4 linked regions of the Caenorhabditis elegans genome follow. The protein of the gene in region 1 interacts with the protein of each later gene in a pairwise test. Each region holds a gene or a part of one and is shown in the gene's direction. Other genes may lie near its edges. The genes, in order: C34D10.1, tag-52, cdr-6 and T02C5.1.

Region 1 (4,593 bases):
GAAGTTTCATTATGAAATTCGGTGTTTTCAGACAATTCTGAGTCTCATAAAGCAATAAAACAATTCGACTACACCACCTTTAAGACACGCCTATGGAGTCACAATGACCGAATATCATGATAAAACATTCAAAAAAATTTCCCTGATTCTATATGATTTTTTGAAAATGGGGAAAATCTCAGTTTTCCCCCCATGCCTATTTAAATTTCCGCCATTTATTCGTTCGATGAAGCGCGCTTGCATTTTTTTCTTATTATTCCACTGATTTTCTTAATTTTTGATCGTTTGTAGTCGGAAAATGAAAGAAATTAACAAAGTAAATGGAAATTGTTAATTAAAAAGTAACTGATAATTCCTAAACCTGTGAAATTATCTGCTCAGAGGACGACAAGCCTGCAATTAGTATTTTAACAGTTTTACACCCTATCAATGACTATTTAACAAACATTTGGCATTTATTTTGTTAATTTCTTCCATTTTCCTAATAAAAACGCCAAAAAATTAAGACAATCAGTGAAATAATGAAAAATAAAATGAAATAAAAAATAAGAATAATGCAAGCGCGCTCCATCGAACGAATAAATTAACGGAAACTTAAATAGGAATTAGGGGAAAACTGAGATTTTTCCAATTTTCAAAAAATCATATAAAATCAGGGACATTTTTTTGAATTTTTTTAATCATGATATTCGGTGACCCCAAATGCGTGTTTTAAAGCAATTTCCCCACAAAGTGTAGTCCACCTTTAAGAAAAACGTGAAAATGATTTGTATTTTTAAGCGTAGAAAGACTCTAATCCTTAGCCTAATAGAGACAAACCTATTAATTTTAATTTTAATGATTTACAGTAATTTATTTCACAGCTCAGAAAAAATGAATTTGCCCAAAAAATTCACCTTTGTCTGTTTCCTTTAGTTTATTACCAATTGAATTAAATGTATTCCCTTTCTTATTTTCTGAGTTGTTTGGGCTGATTGAACTTATTCAAAACTGAATTTCCACTGGTAATTTTTTTTTCCAAACTGTTGATAATTTCACTTTTGTTCAAATTATTATTTTGCAAGATGTTTATTCCTAATCGGTTAATGTCTTGCTATGAAAAATGCTGATTGATAGTTTTGAAAATACTCCGATAAGCATTTTTTCATGAAAGTTCATGACAATGAGAATTAACTTATTTTTCAACTGACAGTTGGATCCTTGTAAAATTTTTCAAATTTTTTTTATTGTTCCGGTGATTTTTTATAAGTTTGCCATTGTTAAAGTTCACATACATTTTTGCTTGTATTGATTCTATTTTTTGTTTTTACATAAATCAATTGTTGTCGGGGATTACTAGACAACATCATTGCAAGACACCACCTTCTATTCTCACTTCACGATGGGAATTGGCTCACTTCTCATTGTCTCTTTCTCCTTTGCTCTCCTTTTTTTTAGCATTTGTTTCCATTTGCAGTGCATTGAAAACGCTGTTCAATTTATAAAGACGTGTTACGATGCTATTATAATTAGGATATGGATTATAAACTTTGTTTAGTTTTGTTAATAAATTTTAAGCTCTTTAGAAAAATGAGACAATATTAAGTTCAAATAATGCTTTGTTTTTTAGAACGTTAACTGTTAATTGAACATAAAACCATTGTTTTGTTACCAAAAAGTCAACGTTTTCTTTTCCGAATCCCAAAACGCGCCAGCAATTGTTTGACCCGCTTCCCGTTGAAGAGTGTTTACACTGGCTAGACGGGTCGATATGGAGGCCGCGGACGCTACTCATTTTCTCCCGTGATCACGTTGCCTTCTTTTCTCCTCTATCGCGTCATCTGCTAATAGAAACTGGTCGGACTCTTGCGCAGCAACCTTGGTCTATGATTATTCCCCTTAGCCTTACAGTTTTTTTTTTCAAATATAACTTTAAAAATTTAAAATTTTGTTTTACAGATTTTATCTCAACAAAACATATGTCAGGAGCAGATGAGGACGCATTGCCCGTTTTTGTCAACACAACAGAAGTGAGTTTTTCAAAAAATATAAAACGCTAATACTTATTAAATTTATAAGATTGTCAAAAAAACAAATTTTCTATTTTTCCAATATATCTTTATTAGTCTTGTATGCAAGACTAATTGCAATGTTTGCGGTTCTCGAGCTACACTATTAAAAATCAATAATCTAAAAAGGATATGGCTGCTTATTTTATTTTTTGATTTATACAATTCTTCTGGAAATAATTGAACTCGCTTTTTTTTAATTTAAAAAGCAATGTAGAGAATTTTGAAAAAAAAACTACAAAAAAGAAAATTAATAGAGTCGAAATGAAACACCTTTTAAAATAATGAACGACTATATAATTAAGGATTTTTTAAATTTTTTGTGGTTTTCAAACAATTTAATGATAATAAAAACAACCAAATCTCGTTTTAAAAGCATTTTATTGCAGTTACAATTCCGGCTCAACGAGAAATCACAGGCAAAGCTGTTCACATTGTACAACCCATTTGGTCATGTGATAACTTATAAAAGTAAGGAAAAATCTTTTCATCCGCTCGAAAATTTGACTTTTTCAGTTTTGTGCACTGCCACTAGGAACTATACTGTAAATGAAACTACCGGTGTCCTCCAAGCAAAATGTTGTCAAGATATGTAAGTTTGCAAAACTTTTGTGAATGTATATACCGTATATTCTCTATTAGTGCTGCAACTTCCAGTAGTACTGCAGTCTCTAATAGTTCTGCGATCAAAGAGGTCCTAGAAATTAGTGTTGCATGCAGCACTAATAGAGAATATACGGTATAGTAATCAAAATTGTGAAACAGTATTTAAGAAAATAAATTCCAGCATTGATTTTTATCCCACAAAATTTTCAGAGTTGTCCGATGTATCCAGCGTCTCCCAGTTGGCAACGTCGACAAGTTGAAAATTGAGATTAGCAAAAAAGGATCGCCGACGGTAAATCTCAAAATTTAATTTCAAATTAAACAAAAACTATTCAGGCGAGTGGATCCTGCGTTCTCACGTTACTCACCGTGTCCTCCGAGCACACAAATCCCGATGAACCCCGTTTTGAAAAAGTCCAGCAATCAAACAGAATGAGCAGTTCTACAACAAGCGAAAGAGGAAACGATAGGGTAAGGTTTTCATTTGAAAAATAAATTTTATTATAGAAAAATAGCACGTGAATGTAATGTAATGTAAAATTGAAACAACTAGTAGCTAGAAAATTTCATTTTAAATATATCAGTCTGTATTTTCAATATTGGTTTACGTGACGTTTACAAGAAAATATAAAGGACAAAATATCTTTCAACTTTATGAATGCAAAATTTATGAAAATTGAAACAGCAATAAGCTGTTCCTCAAAGTAGGAGAAAAGGAACCGTTTGCAAACCCGGACGCGGTTTTCTGGTAGCTCATTTTCGAATAATTTTTTTCGTTGTTATCTGTTACGACCTTATATTCTGTTACGACCTTATATTCACTAAGCGATCATCCGGGCGCCACAACCATTTCCAAATTAAATGTTTCAAAGATTAAATAAAATCCTCAACACTCAACATTTTCAGAACCAATCAAGCATGTGGGCTTGTCTCATCGTTGGCCTGTGTTGTGCTGTCGCACTCGTCTGTCCAACCGCCGGTGATATTGAATCAAAATCTTCATCCGTTCCCCCAATGCTCCACATGTCCTTTCAACAGAAGCTAGTCGCTTCTTATATTCTCGGCATTGTCTCTGTATTAATTCTCCGTCCCATGTAAAGCTATCTAATGTCATTCAATCACTGGTCTAACTTCCTTCCCGAATCGAGTCACTTGTTCTCCTGTCTTCAAAAAATGTGTTCTTCTCTCATCTACTGGCATTATTTGTGCCTGTTTCTTTTTCAATACATGGTAGTCATTTTGTGGCTATTACTGTAAATTGTTTGCAAATCAAGCAATCATTCTTATTGTACATTCTTGTAGGAACAATCATGAAATACGCACTTTTTGATAATATCTGTATGTATATGACTTCTCTACCTCTTTTTGTTTTTAAATTATCGGTAATTGCAATTGAGACAAAGCAATCGAAAATTATGGTAGATATTGTTTTGTATTACACTTACCAAACACAAAAATATTGGGAATTGAAAATGCCAAGCAGGTAGTTTTTACGAGGTTATTCATTTTCGTCGAATAGTTTTTTTTTTCCATTTTTTTGATAATTCCATTTTTGCCAATTCATATTCTAAAAAGACCGCATCAAAATGTATACAGCTGACTGAAAAGTGACAAAAAAATCTACTTTGAAACGCATTGAAACTAAATACTAAACATGAATTTGTCGCCGTGTAAATGATATAAATACAAATTACTTGAAGAATCTATCGCGCATGCAATGAAAATTGTATTCTTCTTATTATTTTTAAAACATTTTTGCGCAAGACAAAACAGTAAATAAAAATATAGTATCGTTAAATTTTTTACTAAATTTTTAATACTTTTTTGAGAACAAAATCTACACAAAAAAAAATCAAAAATCAAATTCAATTAAAGTATTTTTCTTCCCATTTTTTAATTTCATAATTTGTGACACAGTTTTCTGAAATTAAAATTAATA
Region 2 (6,724 bases), 4.4 Mb from region 1:
GTTTGAATGTTCTTTTAAAATGCGGGGTAGAAAATGAAAAGTACCCTAAACTTAAATATTCAATTAATTTCGAAAGCCCTCGTGGACTATGAGACTATCATTTTGGAAATAAATTAAATTTCCATTCATTTGTCAAATTCGGTCTATTTCAATTGATCGTGTTTTGCTTTTTTTTTTTCCTTTTTTAAGGCTTAGAAATGGTTGTTTCCGCCTCATGCAAAATCACTTTACTTTTTCCATAATTTGCATTTTAAATATGTTCCAATAATACCCAAGACTAAAACTTTTGAAAATGTGTTTCCTGCTTTAATACAAACATATTTCTACAAAAAATCTGAGCTGGAAGTTTTTTGAGGTTTATGAGTCGCCTTTCCAAAATTCAAAGATTTATTTACAAATCTTCATACTGGTTTAATTACATTCTCGATGTTCGACTAAAACTTCTGTACAATTTTTTTTACTAAGATTATGTTTCAAAAATTTATGTTCCAAAAATGCACCAATGCTCTAATCCTTGACAAAAACTGAATTTCTGGAACCTCAATGATTCCCTAAAACGGTGACTAAAAATCTATAAAAAACCACAATATTATGAAGACTTTTCTTAAATTATCTGGTTTTTTTGCCTATTTTGATCACGTGTAATCTAAATAGTATTTTAAAAATTTCTGAGAACTATCTATTTTTCAGTAATAGATTTTACATATTGATATTTGGCATCAGCTGTTGTTGGTGTTTTTCTCTGAAAATCACTTTATTTCTCATGTGGTTTGATGTAATTACATTTTATTCCACAACAAAATATGGAAAATCTCATGTCAGTATATTTCTTTCAATTTACATGCTGTTTAGAGAGGGCTTTTAGACAGCTTTGACAAGCTTAAGGACGAAACGGAGAAATATATTTTATTATTTTATATTTATTTAGTAGTTTCATTTAATGGCTTCTTATTTTTTATTTTATAAACGACGGGAAAACGCGCAATTTTATTTGTTGTACAATGGTCTTTGTTCACACTAGTTTCTACGTTTTGTACAGTCCTCTTGTTTGAAACGCCAGCATCTGATAATATTCCATTTTCCACTCCACTCATGTGATTGTCGGGAAATTCGAGACCATGTGCTCTTCCTATCATATCAAATCATCTGACTCCAGTTTTTAAAGACTCCAAATTTTCACTACTGATTTATCATTTCCTGTTGATCTAGATACTGCCCAACAAACGCATCTCTTCCTTCTACTCTGCTACTCCCAGATGACGTAGCATCTACCAACAACATACAGCACGGCATTTGATCATTTGTCTTGCGCAAAAACGTCCTTGTCCTCCGTGTTCTCACATAGTGCCCCCCCCCCCCCCACCCCTTCTTCACTCTTCTCATTTTTCCTTGCATCATGTGGACATGCATGGCCAACCCCCACTATAGCGATGAGTGTGCAAACGCGCTCCTCTGATGCCACCGCGAATTTGAATGCGATGGTGTTGTGGCGGTCGTTTGGGAGAACACCTGCCGGCCGTTCTACTCAATCTATTGATTTTTATCCCTCTTTATCCCGTGTTCTGTTTGCAGAGTCTTGTTTACCGGGTAGTTCTCTTCATTATCAATGTCTTTTTTTTTCGATTTAAAATCAAATGTTTCCTTTCATCTAACTCTGTTGTTTTTCAGACTATGAACGCGGGCAAAGAATTCAACTACTACACGTACCAAAGTGACTCGTCGCAAGGCAGTTTGCAAAAGGCTCCCGATGAAAATACTGATTATTTCACACATAAGATGAACAGCTATTTGCCATTTGACATGAGTACACTGTATGCTAATCAGCCGACAGAGAAAATCCAGATTTTACAAGAAATTTATGATACCGAGAGAACCTATGTGAAAGCGCTCACTATCGTCGATGAGGTCAGGATTTAATTATATAAACCAGAATGCCGGTTGCCTAAAAATTGCCGAAATTTGTAACATTCGGTTTGGCAGCCGACAGTAGCCGGTTACCAAAAATTTTGGCGTTTCGCTGCTATTGCCGGTTGCTTTTGGAATCATGCGTTTGCGCTTTTTGATATTCTCATGAAATGATGCTCGAACACTTGCAACCGAGGTACCTGAAAAATCTATGACAAAAATTTGTCAGGTACGACTTACCGAGAACCGTGATTTATAAAACGCATCTATTAAATTGATAGCCATAAGTATCTCAAAAACTTCTAAAAGCTTCTTAAAATCTTTTTTTCCAGATATTCATTCAACAACTTAACTTGTGGTGCCCCAAATCAAAAAAATGCTTCCGATCCATGTTCGGCGAGATATCAGCAATCTGCAAGACTCATCAAATCCTTCTGGAATCCCTTCAGTGCAAGCCGATCGCCGAGGTCTTTACCAAATTTGTACCGTTCCTCAAACTCTATACCAGTTATGCATCCCATTATCCAAATTCGCTGAAAATTTTTGCGGTTAGTTATAACAATAAAATCTATGATACCTTATTATTTTTACTTTCCAGAAACTGATGTCTCGCAACGACTTCCGCAAAGCTCTGACCAAAATTGAGGAAGACCCCAGAGTTGATGGAAAGAAACTCCAGACATACCTCATCATGCCAATTCAACGCATTCCACGCTATATCATGCTCATTCAAAATTTGATGAATTACAGCACTGAGAAAGATGATATGACAAACCTTTACAGTAAGAATTTATTGGAACGATTTTCTTATAGCTACTTTTTTCAGAAGCGTTGTCGGGTATGCAAGGGCTCTCCGATCAGATTCAATCCTGCATGACAGCTTATGAAAATGGAGAACGACTCCTTCAAATCCAACTGAATTTTGGTCTGGATGGGCACATTCTTGAGCCAGGACGCGTATTGTTGAAGGAAGGAATGTTGTACAAGGTAATATACATTTTAGTATCAATCCTAATTTGGTTAATTTCAGAGAGAGCTCAATGGATCAGCCAACTACCAGGAAACCGTGGTCTTCCTGTTCAATGATATTCTTCTTTACGGAATCAAGAGAATCAGTGTGATGCCACTCTGCAAATACGAGCCGTCTGCAATTCTCTCACTCCGTCACTGCATTGTCCAACTTGATGATATAGGAGGGAGCATATTTGTATGTGGTTATATTATTATTAAAGACTCGAAAATGGTAACTTCAAATTTCAGATTCGTTGTGGAGACGTCGGTGTGGACTTTACAGCCTACTCACTCGGAGGTGTTACGGAGTGGTACAATGAGATTTGCGATGCTATTGACAACGCAAAGAAGCTTCGTGATACGCTGCGGAAAGAGAGTTTCAAGCAAAAGTCGCTCATCTTTGACAAAGGATTCTGGCAGAGAAATCGAGACAAGCTCCGTAATATGATAACTGCCGATATGACGGGCAACATCAGTCGTGTGTTGACAAGAAAGAAGCCAGCTCCGAAGCTCGAGGAAAGTGATTTTCTTCGTGGACAGTGGACAACTTCCACGATTGCTTCGAATCAACGGAAGCGAAGTACGTTTATGAATATGTTACCCGGTAATTGTTAATTTGTTTTCAGAAGTTGCTACTTTGGAGGATGAAGAAGAAGACGTATTCAACATGCTATCTTCTCCCAATCTATCTCAGCGGAAGCGGAGTATGTTAGAAATATTGAGATTTTGATTAATTTGGATTTTTAGAAGCCACTCTGCAAGAGAACACTCCATCAGGCGTTGGTTGGACAGCCTCCCCAAGAAGTTCGTCTTTTCGAAAACGTAGTGAGTTTTTCAAGGCTTAGTTTTTCAAGTTTTTCGAGGCTTTCAAAGCAATGCGTGAATTTTCAGGAGCGTCTACTCTGAGAAATAAAAATGCAGATGTAACTGACGGCAACAACTACCTCAGCCATCTTGTTCTCAATGATGTCACCATGACACAACCGTACACTGGTCTTAATGCTTTTGTGGGAACTCCAAAGTCGAGAACACCAACTGATGACGATTACGACAGTGATCGGGACTATGTTTGGACTGATGACGAGGAGTTTGTTTCGGACGACAAGAAGATTCCAATCAGACGTGTGGCTAGTTATGATGAAGAGGATCGCCGCCCACGCGATTTCAGCGAGGTTCGTCGCTCTGTGGCTTCGGAACCACCACGTCGCCATCTTGCAGTGGACGACATTCGCAAGTTGAGCTACCAACAGGTTGGTGATTGAAGAGTTAACTAGGGAAGAGACTGAAGGTGCCACCTGATTTTCTGTTGTATATAAATTTCAGACTTCGAAATTTTAGAATTGAGTTTGCGGTGAGCTTGCAAATATGCTCGGAATAAGCGGTGCATTGTGGGTGCTCCGAGGACATGTGTGGTGGTGGTATTTGCCAATTCATATAACTTTCATGACTTTAAAAAAAGTTTGGAAGATGTCTGAATTTTATCAAAATCTGGAATTTTGATCACCAGAAGCATGCAATTTTCAGAAACTCGAAACATATTTTTTAAATTACGAGGGTGATTTTTCCAATAAAAAAATCTGCATGTTACCAATGGTAACTTACCATCATGAACATCCCCAGAGCTCCGATGTTGCTGCTCTTACTCGGCAATTCCCGGCAGCTTCTTCCCCAAGTTTGGGGCTTTCCAGCTTCTTACCCAACTCTTGCCAACTTCTAACCCAGAGTATGCCCAAGTCTTACCCAACTTCAACAATTCTAGTGTAAACTCCCTCGCCCGAGTTTTGCCCAAGTCTTAGCCAAGTCTTGCCAACTTTTTACCCAAGTTTGCAGATGTAAAGAACAAACAAGATTCCGAAATCCTGCATGCGCAATGTTTAGCGTAAATCGACACTTTGTCTTTTGAGTAATTTGTATTTAAAATAGAGGAATTTCGATGTAATTGAAAGAATTCACAGGAAAACTTGTCCCTTCAAAGTCAAATTCTAAATATTTTGCTCTGATGGCTAACATTGTTAAAAAATGTACGAACAAAGTTTGCCTTTTATTTCCTGTGACTGTCTAATAAACCGAATAATTTATCTAAAAATAAAAAGAAAAGTTATCTTCAGGATGATTCTTCTCCTAGTCAGTCCAATAGTCAAATAATAGTCAGTCAATCCAATGCATCAACTTTTGAATTTTTCTAAGACTAAAATGTTCCTTTGAAATGTAAACTTTTATAAAATTGAAAGACATGAAACAAACATGAATTACAGTAATTTTGTAAATTCTGTACTTAGAATCATTAGGGAGCACACTTGAAAACAAATGAAATAAGGTATGTGGGAATACCGTATTAATCCGATGTGTCTGATACTTCCTCAAAAATATCTATCAGAATATGAGTACGATATATTATTAGTGTGCATCTTTTCGCGCGACCATCATGGCTCAGCAGGTAAGACTTCGGAACAACAGGAAATGCGATCAAAGTTCAACACACACGTATAAATTGGGTAAGAAATAGGCAAAACTTGGGTAAGACTTGGGCGACGCCTCGAGACGACGAGGCAGTCCACGACTTTTTTTATTTATGAGGCGCCCAACTCTTGCCCAAGGTTTACCCAAGCCTTGGCAACTCCTTATAAATGTTTTTATTTTTTGGGCAAGGCTTGGGTAAGAAGTTGCGAAGCCTTGGGTAGGAAACTGGCGGCAAACGCCGAGTACTCATCGCAAACTCAATTATAAAATTCCCTGCTTAAAATCCATATTTAACAATTTCTAATTATGGTATTTCAAATAAAACATGTCTAGTTCAAAAGCCCGGTGGAACCTTTACATTAGACCCTTTCTCAATAAATTAGAAAAACTAATACAAGCTAACAAAAAATGATTTTCAGCGTTCTCTGGAGCCATTCAACATGGTCACTGAGGACGATGATGAGGACGACATCATTGATATCAAAGTCAAAGGAGAGCGTCCACGTCCGTGGTGGGAGACCGAATCAGCACCACCGGCTATTAAAAATCAAAAGTCTTCAATAATTGATTCAATCAGAAATAGTTGCGCAATTATGTAATTTTTCCTCTTTTTTTTAAATTTTCAGCTATTTTGGTCCATCTATTTGTATGTTTTCATCTCATGATCGTTGATCTCTGCATTGTGTCGTTCCTATTTTTTCTACACATTTTCTCCCCATTTTTCCCTTAAAAATTTATGTTTTCGTGAAATATCTCTCCCCAGAAACTGTTCAGACTGTTCACTATGTTATCAATAAACAGCTATTGATACTTCTTTTGAAACATGTTTTCAGGTACCTACCAACAATTTTTGATGAAATGAGTCATGAATCACAAGAAGCATTTTGTTCTGCAAATTGATAGGCTGGAAAAGAGAACAGAAGCCTACAATGAACAAATAGATATAATTGTTTGACGCTGGAATCTTTATTACCGGGTAGGGTAGGATCTGCTACAATTCTACAATTAACGACGTGTTTTCCAACGACGCTCCATGCTAATTGCACAGCTCTTTTCCATGTAATGTCCCATCCTGAAAAGTCATAAAGTCGTTTCCTTCAAATTAAACATCCAATTGCTCTGAGCTTTCATTGCCCCTGTTTTGCTCATTGTGTTGTTAGCATGACGTCTAAAACGGTAAGTTTGAAATAATATTATTTTTTTAACCTTCCCTTTGTCAGAATATGACGTCAAACAAATTTGCATATGACTTCTTTCCATGGTCAAATGACACCAATTCGGTAAGTATTTGATAATTTTTAAAAAGTAATCAATTTTCCAATTTAGTCCCAACAAATTAAGAACATCA
Region 3 (3,275 bases), on another chromosome or scaffold:
AATTTCAGTCTCTACCAGCTGCTCAAGAAGCACATTCTGTAGCCTTGACAAGACTTGCAGATAATCATTTGTTCAAGTGAGTTATTCAAATACTCTGATTTTTAATGGTTTTTGTTACAGTTTGCTTATCCGTTACAAAATAATAGGAGATGAATTTTTCCATATTCTTGTCAGAAGCATTGGTATTCCAAAATTCCTTCAGCCACTTCTCTTTCCACTTATTCGAGCCTCATTTGGAAAGAAAGTCTATCAGAGATCGACAGGATCAATTGGAGATTTTGAATTAAAAGAAATGGATGATATTCTTCATAGAGATTTCCAAACAATTCAAGATTATTTGGGAGATCAAAAGTTTTTGTTCGGAGATAAAGTTACAGCGGTTTGTGAAATCAATTAGAACCCAATTTTTTATCTCATAAAATTTCAGGCAGATGCAGCTGTATTTGGTCAAATTGCGTCGGTGATTTATCCATTCCGGTGCAGTATCAACGATGCCCTTGAAAATGATTTCCCAAAAATTCTGGAATATTGTGAACGAGTTCGTCAGGAAATATATCCAAATGATTTTACAATTTAATTTTTGTTTTATGAAAATAAATGTTCATTTTCAAATGAGGAGGCAACTCCAAAAGTGATATATTTTCTTCTTCCATTTTTGAAATTGATAAGAAACCTTGTCATCATTTCCACTATTGTTTACTCAAACAAGTGTGGATGGCAAAGATTGAAAAATCAAAGATTATCTTCAACAATTTAAATGTTTCTTATGGAATTATCAAAGCAAACTATTCGCTTTTGTCCAAATTTTCAATTTTCTAAAGTATGCAAAGAAATTTGGAAATTCTCGAAGTTTTCCCGCATATCTTGGCTACTTAAAACATTTTTTCAGGTTTTAGCATAATTTTTAGAATTCAAAAACTTTGTAGAAGAAATACGGAGAAATTCACAAAACAGCATCTTAAAAGCTATCTAGTTGTTGTGAAAGCAAAGGTAAAAGTGCAAACCAACAGAATAAAAAACTAAAATGTTCAAACTTTAACTTATATTTCCTCAAAATAATAGTTTTTTGTACGAATATTGAAAAACAAATGAAGTGATGTTGGTTGACCAAAAAATCAACTAATGATAATTAAACCAAACTAAGCACAAACTTCACTACAAACCACATACCTTTACCTTCTTTTTCTGTTTCTCCTTTAAAATTTAATATAAAATGAAAAGTGGCTCAACGAATACTCAAACTTTTCAAAGTCCGCTATAAAATCTATTTTCCAAGTTGTTTAGACATTGTAAAGATAGCAAACATGACAATATTCTTTTCCACAAAATACATTGTGTCTAACCGTCTAATGTCTCTCAAAACACACGTTCACTGGCTAGACTCTACCCTCATTGCAAGATGGCAGTATTAAATAGAGTCGATACTCATTTCTTCTTACCTTTTTTTTTCGTCAGTTTTGAGTTCTAATTAACGCAACTAACGTCTTAATTTGTAAAATAATAGCAACTCTTATATTTATTGATTTTTTTCTACTTTTGAACGTGAAAAATTATTTTCCAGAATGGTGTGTTGCTGTCCAGTGACAACAACCCTAGTGGTTGGTGCAATCGCTTTTTTCATTTACAAGAAATTCTTCACGCCACCAACAATTAAACCAAAGCCGGCGGTTAGTTTCTTTTTTTTTTTTGAAAATTTTTAATTTACGAACAAATATTTTTAGATTCACAAAACCGACTACAAGAAAGATACTGTTTATCTTTACCAATTCAAAAGACTGAAAAACTGCCCAAATCTTTCACCATTCTGCATGAAAATTGAGATTCTTTGCAGAGTCTACAATATTCCTTATGAGGTTTATTTCTTTTTTTGCTGAACAAATTTTGAATTTAAATTTCAGATTGTGGAGAGTTCAATGGCTCGATCGAGAAATGGAACTTTACCTTTTATCGAGCTCAATGGGGAACACATTGCAGACTCTGATCTCATTGAGATTCGCCTGAGACAACATTTTAAGATTCCAGTAAGTAATTCGAGATGTTTTCAAAATTAATTTTGCAAAAATATATATTTCAGAGCCTCCCAACCGAACAAGAAGCGCAGTCAGTTGCTTTGAGCAGAATGGCAGATAATCATCTTTTCTAGTAGGTATTTACATTTAAATTCTGAAGATGATTAGAAACAGAAGAAAATTCATTATCTCATTGAAATTTATAAGTTCGAAATCATTTTTTACAGTGTACTTCTCCGCTACAAGAGCTCAGTTGACATGTTTTACGAGATCATTGTCGGGCTTCTCGGTTTACCATCAGCATTCAACGCCGTATTGGTTCCTCTGGTCAAAGCTGTGTTTGGAAGCAAAGTTTATAGTCGTTGTGTTGGGGCAATTGGAGATTTTGAGCCACATGAGCTTGATGAGCTTCTTCATAGAGATCTCAAAGTAATTCAAGACTCTATCAAAGGGAAATTCCTTTTCGGAGACAAGATCACACCGGTTTGTTAATTTATAGTTGTATCCTTTTTACCTGGGAATTTTCTAGACTGATGCAACCGTATTTGGACAATTGGCATCCGTGTATTACCCACTTCGTTCGCATATCAACGACGTGCTGGAAAAGGATTTCCCAAAAATTCTTGAGTACTGCGAAAGTGTTCGCAAGGAAGTGTACCCCAATGATTTCACCATCTAACTTCAATTTTTAGTTAATTTTTCTTGTCTTACCTTTTCTTTAGCCAAATAAAAGTGTCTATAACAATAAGTATTTGTATCTTCAAAAGCTTTGATAACGATAAAACAATCAACTTATAACAAGAGGCTTCACATAAAGTCAGAAAAAATTTGAGAATGGCATTATTTTGCTCAGCAATTGCTTAGGCGTATATACGAATTGCATATCTTTAAAGATATACACTGACCCAAATAATAGTTTTTGTTTTGAAGCTATTTTTAGTTGAAATTCGAAAACTTCATTCCATTCTAATAGTTATATCAGCTAACCTCAAAAATGCTCAAAGCTCGTAAATCTGTTTCAAAATATATACCTAAATAGCTTTGATCTGAAATAATGTTTTCTTGATCTCTTCGGTTATTTTGACCTCTTGATCTCTATTGAAAGACATTAATTTAACACTTGTGTAAAAAAGATCGAGAGATAAGATAACGAGAAGGGCAAAAAAGAGGAAAAGGACACCTCCGTCTACATTCAAATCATGTATCAAGGGTTGAAAATGTCTATTTGTGCCCACTCTAAACTGATTTTTGCTTCTGCTGCTGCTA
Region 4 (5,880 bases), 5.3 Mb from region 1:
TGTAACTTTCTTTGGAAAAATATGCATATCCTACAAAGTATAAACATGCCAAAATTCGCAATATTTCGTATACTTCCTAACTTACATACTTGCTCCATAACATATTCTTTGAGCCCAACTCTCTCAATGTTGTTCAATTTAATGTTTGATGGAAACATGTTCCATAATGCACTGATAAGACAACAACTACCGTGTTGTCAAAAACAAACTGTTTTAGGTTTAATCGGAAAACGATTGAGACCGTCGTCTTGATGGAATATTATGAAATCACTGTCAACAGAACAAGTGACCAAAAAATGTTGTAAAAAGCACAGATGGACATGAGAACGCACAGTTTTTATTCAGACACCGCCTTACAGATGCGAGAGCAACCAGAGCAGTTGATGGGCACACAGGCACGACGATTAGTGGGCAGCCGCCCGTACTCTCTGTCTTTTGACTGCATCTGGGCAGTTGTCTAGATATCGATACAATTTTGACCCAACAACACAGTAAAATTTTGGTCAATATTTGCTTTTTATCATAACTTCCCTCCTGTCATTTTTGATTGTTTTGTGAGTGAGAGTATGCAAATGGTGAGATGCAACTTTTGCCAATGGACTAGTCACAAGACTAAATAAAATAGAAAACTAGTCGCAATAAATTATTAGAGTGAGAAATAAGTTTTGTGGTATGTTTTTTTTGTGTCTCAAATAATATAAATTTTTCAAACGTTTGTACCTAACTTTTTTAAAATTCAATTTTCAATATAAATTGAATATGTTTGAATTCAAAAATATATAAGTCCTTGATTTATTCTGGTAAAGTTTACTAGATTCACTCCGTGCATTTTTATTCTTCAAATATTTGATTAGGCTGGATCAAGGATTTTGATTGTCAAACACTGAACCAGCTTTTGGATACAATTTTGCAGTATTGATCAATATTATCATTTCTCTTATGAAATATTTGTTTTCCAGCATACGAAAATGTGTGATATTTTTATTAGTCATGGTATATATTCATGTGACTGCAGTTAAAATGATACAAATGTTCTAAAAGCCGGAAATATTCTGTACTTTTGATAGCTCGTAAATCTCGTTTCAACGCTCATTTGTGAAAAATGCGACCTACAGTACTTTTGGTAGCGGCGTGTAAACTTAATAAATTTTAACATTCACGATTGTGCACTCTCTCAACTCTCATAGAAGTAATTGGAGATTCTGATTTTTTTTCCAAAGTGCAACGTACCACAGTTCTTCTCCAAAACTTTTCCTATTTCTCAACTTGTATATTTTTTCGCAATCGAACTTACTCACAGATTTTCAATACTTCATCTACAATATTTTTGTTAATAAATTCTGAAAATCGGAACATACTGCATTGCTCTGGATTTCCTTTAAAGCTCACGGTTTGAAAATTTTGGAATTCGCCAAACGTTTGACTCAAACTTTCCAAAATTGTTTGGAGTGTTTTATTTGGTCATTTTATTATTATTATTGGTGTATTTAAACAAAATTCCTACATGCAAATTTCGAAAAAATATTTTTGTTAGTTTCAATTATAAATGTTGTATATTTATCATAATTAGGAGACAAGAGCAAGATCACTTTCCAAGTGATAAAATTTTTTTTTTGAATTTTCAAGAAAATTTTCATCAACTATGTTTTCGAATTTGTTTTAATGGAGAATGTCATCTTTTTAAATAGTTAATAATTTTTTTCACAAAACAAATCCGCGTGTTTTTGGAAACTTGAGCAGAAACTTTTTCTATTTGTGCTTCAATGGTTATTTGTCTTCACTTTTAATAAACTATCAATTGCCATGTTTTCATATTTTTAATTTTCCACCTCATAACTCACCTCCCTCGCAACTCAGAAAATTAACATTGGCTTCCAAAGTTCACCACCTTTTTTTCTCTAACCACACCATACAAATAGAACTGTTATCAATCTGAAATTATTTAAAAAGACGTCGCTGAGATAAGAGCGTCAGTCCTTTACACGCGGCACGCAATGAGAGGAGCACTGCAGTTACTACTTTTTGTTGGTACAGTCACTCTGGTGAGACCTATTGTACACTTTGAAAATATTCTAGTTAAATTTTTATTCAGGTGGCCAGCAAGCTACATGAGTCCCCTTACGTTACCGAATGCTTTGATGTATGTTTAAATTGTTTTTTTGTAAGTTCTCAATTTGTTTTAGGGGCACTACAACTTCAGAGGCGTCTGCTTCCAATGCACTCCATGTGGTGACTTCATGTACGAGCTGTAAGTAATTTTTTGTTGATATTTTTTATGCCAAATTCATTCAAAAATTACGGGACACTGTCTCATCGTGGAATCTGTAATAAAAAGTCTGTAAACTGCCAGATTTAGCGGTTAGATCTTTAGATACTTGAAAAACCAATTCCTTATGAAATTGTAAAACATAAAACAATCTGACAGCCCGTGTATTCAAACGGTCTTGTCATTTAGCATTGATGTCAGAATACTGATAACTGTGAAGAGCATGTCATGCACACCTCGGTGTCATATGGTGTCGTGAAAACTTAGTGCTATTGAGTAACAAGGTGATTGATAAGAATAAACAGTACTTCAGTTTGAAAACAGAAATTTGATAGCAATCAATTTTCCGGGCATTTGTTTATTCAAACTTGTGACTAGCAAAACATTGAACATAGTGAGTTCAACTCACCATGGGTTTTCAAATTAACTCGGCATTTGGAGCATGGGTGTGCGGCAAATATGCCAAATTTGCCCAGCACAGCAAAACTCGAAAATGCAGATTTGCCGAATTTGCCGAGATTGGCAAATTTTGAAATTTACACATCAGTAGGAATGTTTTTCAGAAAATGGGTTTTTAAAAAATTTATTTAGGTACCTTAACTTCAAAATACCCGTTTATAAGGTTCAATTAATTTTCTAATATGAAAGTTTATGAGTTTCAAAATCTGCATGCAACCGTTGTAGAACATTATCATGCAAAAATTTAGTCAGGGGTCAAGCTTGATAAACAATATTTATTTTCAGTTTCTTATGACGTCATATATATATATATTAAACATATTTTATTATCTCGTACGGAAAACTCGCATTTCGTCGAAAATTTCCCTTTTGTGAAAAACTATTAAAGTTTTTAGAGCAAAATGCACGGATACTTCAAACACAGTTTGTGGATGGTGTGGAAACAAACCAAACTTGGACAAAATTTCTGATGAGTATGTCATAAAATGAGGCTGATTCTATTACAAAGTTAGCCCATGTTTCAGAGTGCTTGTCTCTTACCAAACCAAGTGTCTTATGTCTAGCCTAGATTTCATCGGGATGACCAAACTGAAAGACGAGCTTGTCAATGTTTTTGATGATGAAAAGGATAGTGAGGAGGTAGAAGAGTTACCAATTAAAGATAATTTCATCAAAGGTGAAAATCTTGAGATGATTGATTCAAATGAGATCAACTACGATATGGCGAGAAACAGTTTAGAAGATGTGTACGATAGTCAAGAGCACCAGCTACCAGACCCGACTTATGAAGAAGGAGATGATTCAAGTTCTTCGGAAGAAATTGGCGAAGAGGAGAAGACTGATGAAAATGAGATTGGAAGCGAAATTGTTTCGGAAAAAGTCAAAGCTTACATGATTGAAAAAAGTGAAAAAGTTCCGTCTTCTGTTAAAATTGCGAAAGGAAAAACTACAATTGTTTCTCATGAGGTAGGTGGAAAACAACAAAACAATAAAGTTAGCATATTTAAATTGTGCTATGCACTGCGGATCTGGAAGTCAGGAACACTGCCTGGTAGTGCTCTCACTGGGATATAAGGGTGAGGCCGGACTTGAACTCGTGGCCTCCAGATTGCTAGCGACCACCACTACCAACTGAGCTATCCCGCTTCTGAAATATGTCGGAGCAAATCATTGAAATAAGAAATTGAAAAGTTTTGTATACTCAAAAAAATTTTGAAGACTTTTTGACGACCCAATTTTCTTGAACTAACTTTTTTCTTTTTGTTTTTGTTGATTTTCTAAGTGTTTAATTTAAGCAAAATTCGCACACAATTGAGAAGATGCCAGAAAAAGTGGCTCCGAGTTAAAACCGTTGGGGTGGTTAAACATTTTTGAAACTGCCGTCATAAATTCCCTCACTTTTAGTATCATCTATAATCTACAAAAAAATTATTGTGTGAAGCTAACTTTTTGATGTAAACTTGGGATATCTCGCTCTTATGTTTTGAAATTGACCATGAAAATTGAGTGCCCAATTTTTAAATTTTCAGAACTAAATTCATCATTTTAATTTCAGGAAGCCGAGGCCACATTCCGAGAGATTGAAGCCCTACCAAACCCTGTGCGCAAAATCAACCAAGACGATTATGACTCCTCTGAAGAGTCAAACGAGCGTGAAATCAAGTGGGACAATTGGGTTGATGATCAAGTGAAACCAATCAGAACGGTATGTCTGCAAATCTACCCGGATTTCTGAAATTTTTTTGAAATACAGAACGTCGAAGTTGTCGAAGCCGAGGAGATTGAGGAATTTGACCAGCTCATCGCGTAAGTCAATGTTTCAATGATTTTTATTTGAGAAATTTCCATTTTTCAGAAAGTCGCTCAAAAATAGAAGAAAGATCTTGAATGATGAGACAGAAAGCTCACCACTATTCATTAAAAACTTGGGTTCAGTCTTTGTCATCTGTATGGGAATGATCATTGTTGTGTAAGTAAGCTAGATCACGTGGATTCAGAATGTCATATTTCGATTTGATCTTCAAAAAATGCGGGAGTTGAGACGCAGACATCTCATCTGATTTCGCATGGTGCTAACGTCTCAATTTTTCTGGAAAAAAACTTCCCGCCTTTTTTTGTAGATCAAACTATAAATCAACACGTCTCAGATTCTAACTTTTGAACTGTAAAATCTATGGTTTGTTTTTCCAGCACTATTCTCTCTATCACATATGCTTTGATGCGTGCGGAAAGAAAGGAATTCTTGGGCGTCCCCACCGACTCGCAGGACTATCATAGTAGGGATTTCAAAAGAGTTACAAAAAAATCTAATGTACAAAGTTTATTCCAGTGATCATTGATTCCAGCAATTATATCGAGAAGCTTGAAAGCAAGGAAAAACAGGCCAGCCGTCACGTTCATGTCAACCCAGTTTTCGATGTTTGATTAATTTTATCTTCTCCGTGAGAATTATGAGAATTATCTGTTTGTATATTTAATCTTCTTTATTTTTTTATTTTTGTATTTTTTAAATGTGCATCCGCATTTTCCATTTCATTTCTTTTTACGTTCTGAAATAGTAAATTTAAAATTTATGGGAAGAATGTATCTTTGATAAAACCTTTATTCCATTTCAAAAAAAAATGTCGGGGTAAAACACCAAAAAGGGAAATGGGTGATAACACCGCCTGAGGCCACGAAATTTAAGTGGAGGGAAATGAGAGGTGATAGAGATAGCATATAATACCCGAAGTTGCATGAATGGCTGACAATGCTCGAAGAAAAAATCAAACAAGGGATGGTTCTAGAAGGGAAAGTGAAAAATGAAAAAGAAAGAAAAAACGCAGAAAGGTACATTTGTAATTAAAATTTCAAATATGGCCATTAAAACTTTTTCAATACGGTTTTTAAAAAACAGGTAACACGGAGGATAGTGGATGTACACATAGATTAGCTAGACGACAGACTGAACAGAAGCAGTGCCCCTATGCGGTCTACTATTAACAGAGCTGATTGATACGGTACTTGATGGCTGTGCTGCGAAGCCTCTTTTGAGTTCGAGCTCTGCATAGTTCACACCCTCGTGGAATGCAGCGACCGTTGTCCGTTTCTTCTGAAGTGATGATGAGAAAAAAAACAAAGAAATGAATGAAAGAAGTGAACCCAGTTAAAAAGCT

The links.
Region 2: the proteins of C34D10.1 (region 1) and tag-52 interact in a two-hybrid assay, tested with the Caenorhabditis elegans proteins (one large-scale study listed by BioGRID).
Region 3: the proteins of C34D10.1 (region 1) and cdr-6 interact in a two-hybrid assay, tested with the Caenorhabditis elegans proteins (one large-scale study listed by BioGRID).
Region 4: the proteins of C34D10.1 (region 1) and T02C5.1 interact in a two-hybrid assay, tested with the Caenorhabditis elegans proteins (one large-scale study listed by BioGRID).

What each region holds. Positions count from the first base shown.
Region 1 is NC_003284.9:8,027,541-8,032,133, forward strand, and holds C34D10.1 (MSP domain-containing protein), read left to right. Parts: upstream 1-1,938; 5' UTR 1,939-1,958; coding exon 1,959-2,009; intron 2,010-2,437; coding exon 2,438-2,519; intron 2,520-2,564; coding exon 2,565-2,640; intron 2,641-2,864; coding exon 2,865-2,946; intron 2,947-2,990; coding exon 2,991-3,125; intron 3,126-3,560; coding exon 3,561-3,752; 3' UTR 3,753-4,074; downstream 4,075-4,593.
Region 2 is NC_003284.9:3,673,502-3,680,225, reverse strand, and holds tag-52 (Putative protein tag-52), read left to right. Parts: upstream 1-1,668; 5' UTR 1,669-1,671; coding exon 1,672-1,905; intron 1,906-2,237; coding exon 2,238-2,453; intron 2,454-2,503; coding exon 2,504-2,687; intron 2,688-2,731; coding exon 2,732-2,892; intron 2,893-2,935; coding exon 2,936-3,112; intron 3,113-3,165; coding exon 3,166-3,496; intron 3,497-3,542; coding exon 3,543-3,620; intron 3,621-3,663; coding exon 3,664-3,741; intron 3,742-3,807; coding exon 3,808-4,166; intron 4,167-5,795; coding exon 5,796-5,975; 3' UTR 5,976-6,185; downstream 6,186-6,724. Other genes in the region: Homeobox protein ceh-63, read left to right, coding at 6,538-6,552, 6,597-6,656, 6,703-6,724.
Region 3 is NC_003283.11:12,411,986-12,415,260, reverse strand, and holds cdr-6 (CaDmium Responsive), read left to right. Parts: upstream 1-1,559; 5' UTR 1,560-1,562; coding exon 1,563-1,667; intron 1,668-1,721; coding exon 1,722-1,853; intron 1,854-1,898; coding exon 1,899-2,021; intron 2,022-2,074; coding exon 2,075-2,142; intron 2,143-2,236; coding exon 2,237-2,492; intron 2,493-2,538; coding exon 2,539-2,688; 3' UTR 2,689-2,774; downstream 2,775-3,275. Other genes in the region: cdr-2 (CaDmium Responsive), read left to right, coding at 9-76, 121-379, 428-577; cdr-7 (CaDmium Responsive), read left to right, coding at 3,227-3,275.
Region 4 is NC_003284.9:2,692,941-2,698,820, forward strand, and holds T02C5.1 (TNFR-Cys domain-containing protein), read left to right. Parts: upstream 1-1,982; 5' UTR 1,983-1,994; coding exon 1,995-2,042; intron 2,043-2,092; coding exon 2,093-2,140; intron 2,141-2,183; coding exon 2,184-2,248; intron 2,249-3,120; coding exon 3,121-3,198; intron 3,199-3,249; coding exon 3,250-3,691; intron 3,692-4,280; coding exon 4,281-4,430; intron 4,431-4,478; coding exon 4,479-4,531; intron 4,532-4,580; coding exon 4,581-4,694; intron 4,695-4,915; coding exon 4,916-5,001; intron 5,002-5,054; coding exon 5,055-5,149; 3' UTR 5,150-5,333; downstream 5,334-5,880. Other genes in the region: igcm-3 (Ig-like domain-containing protein), read right to left, coding at 5,658-5,816.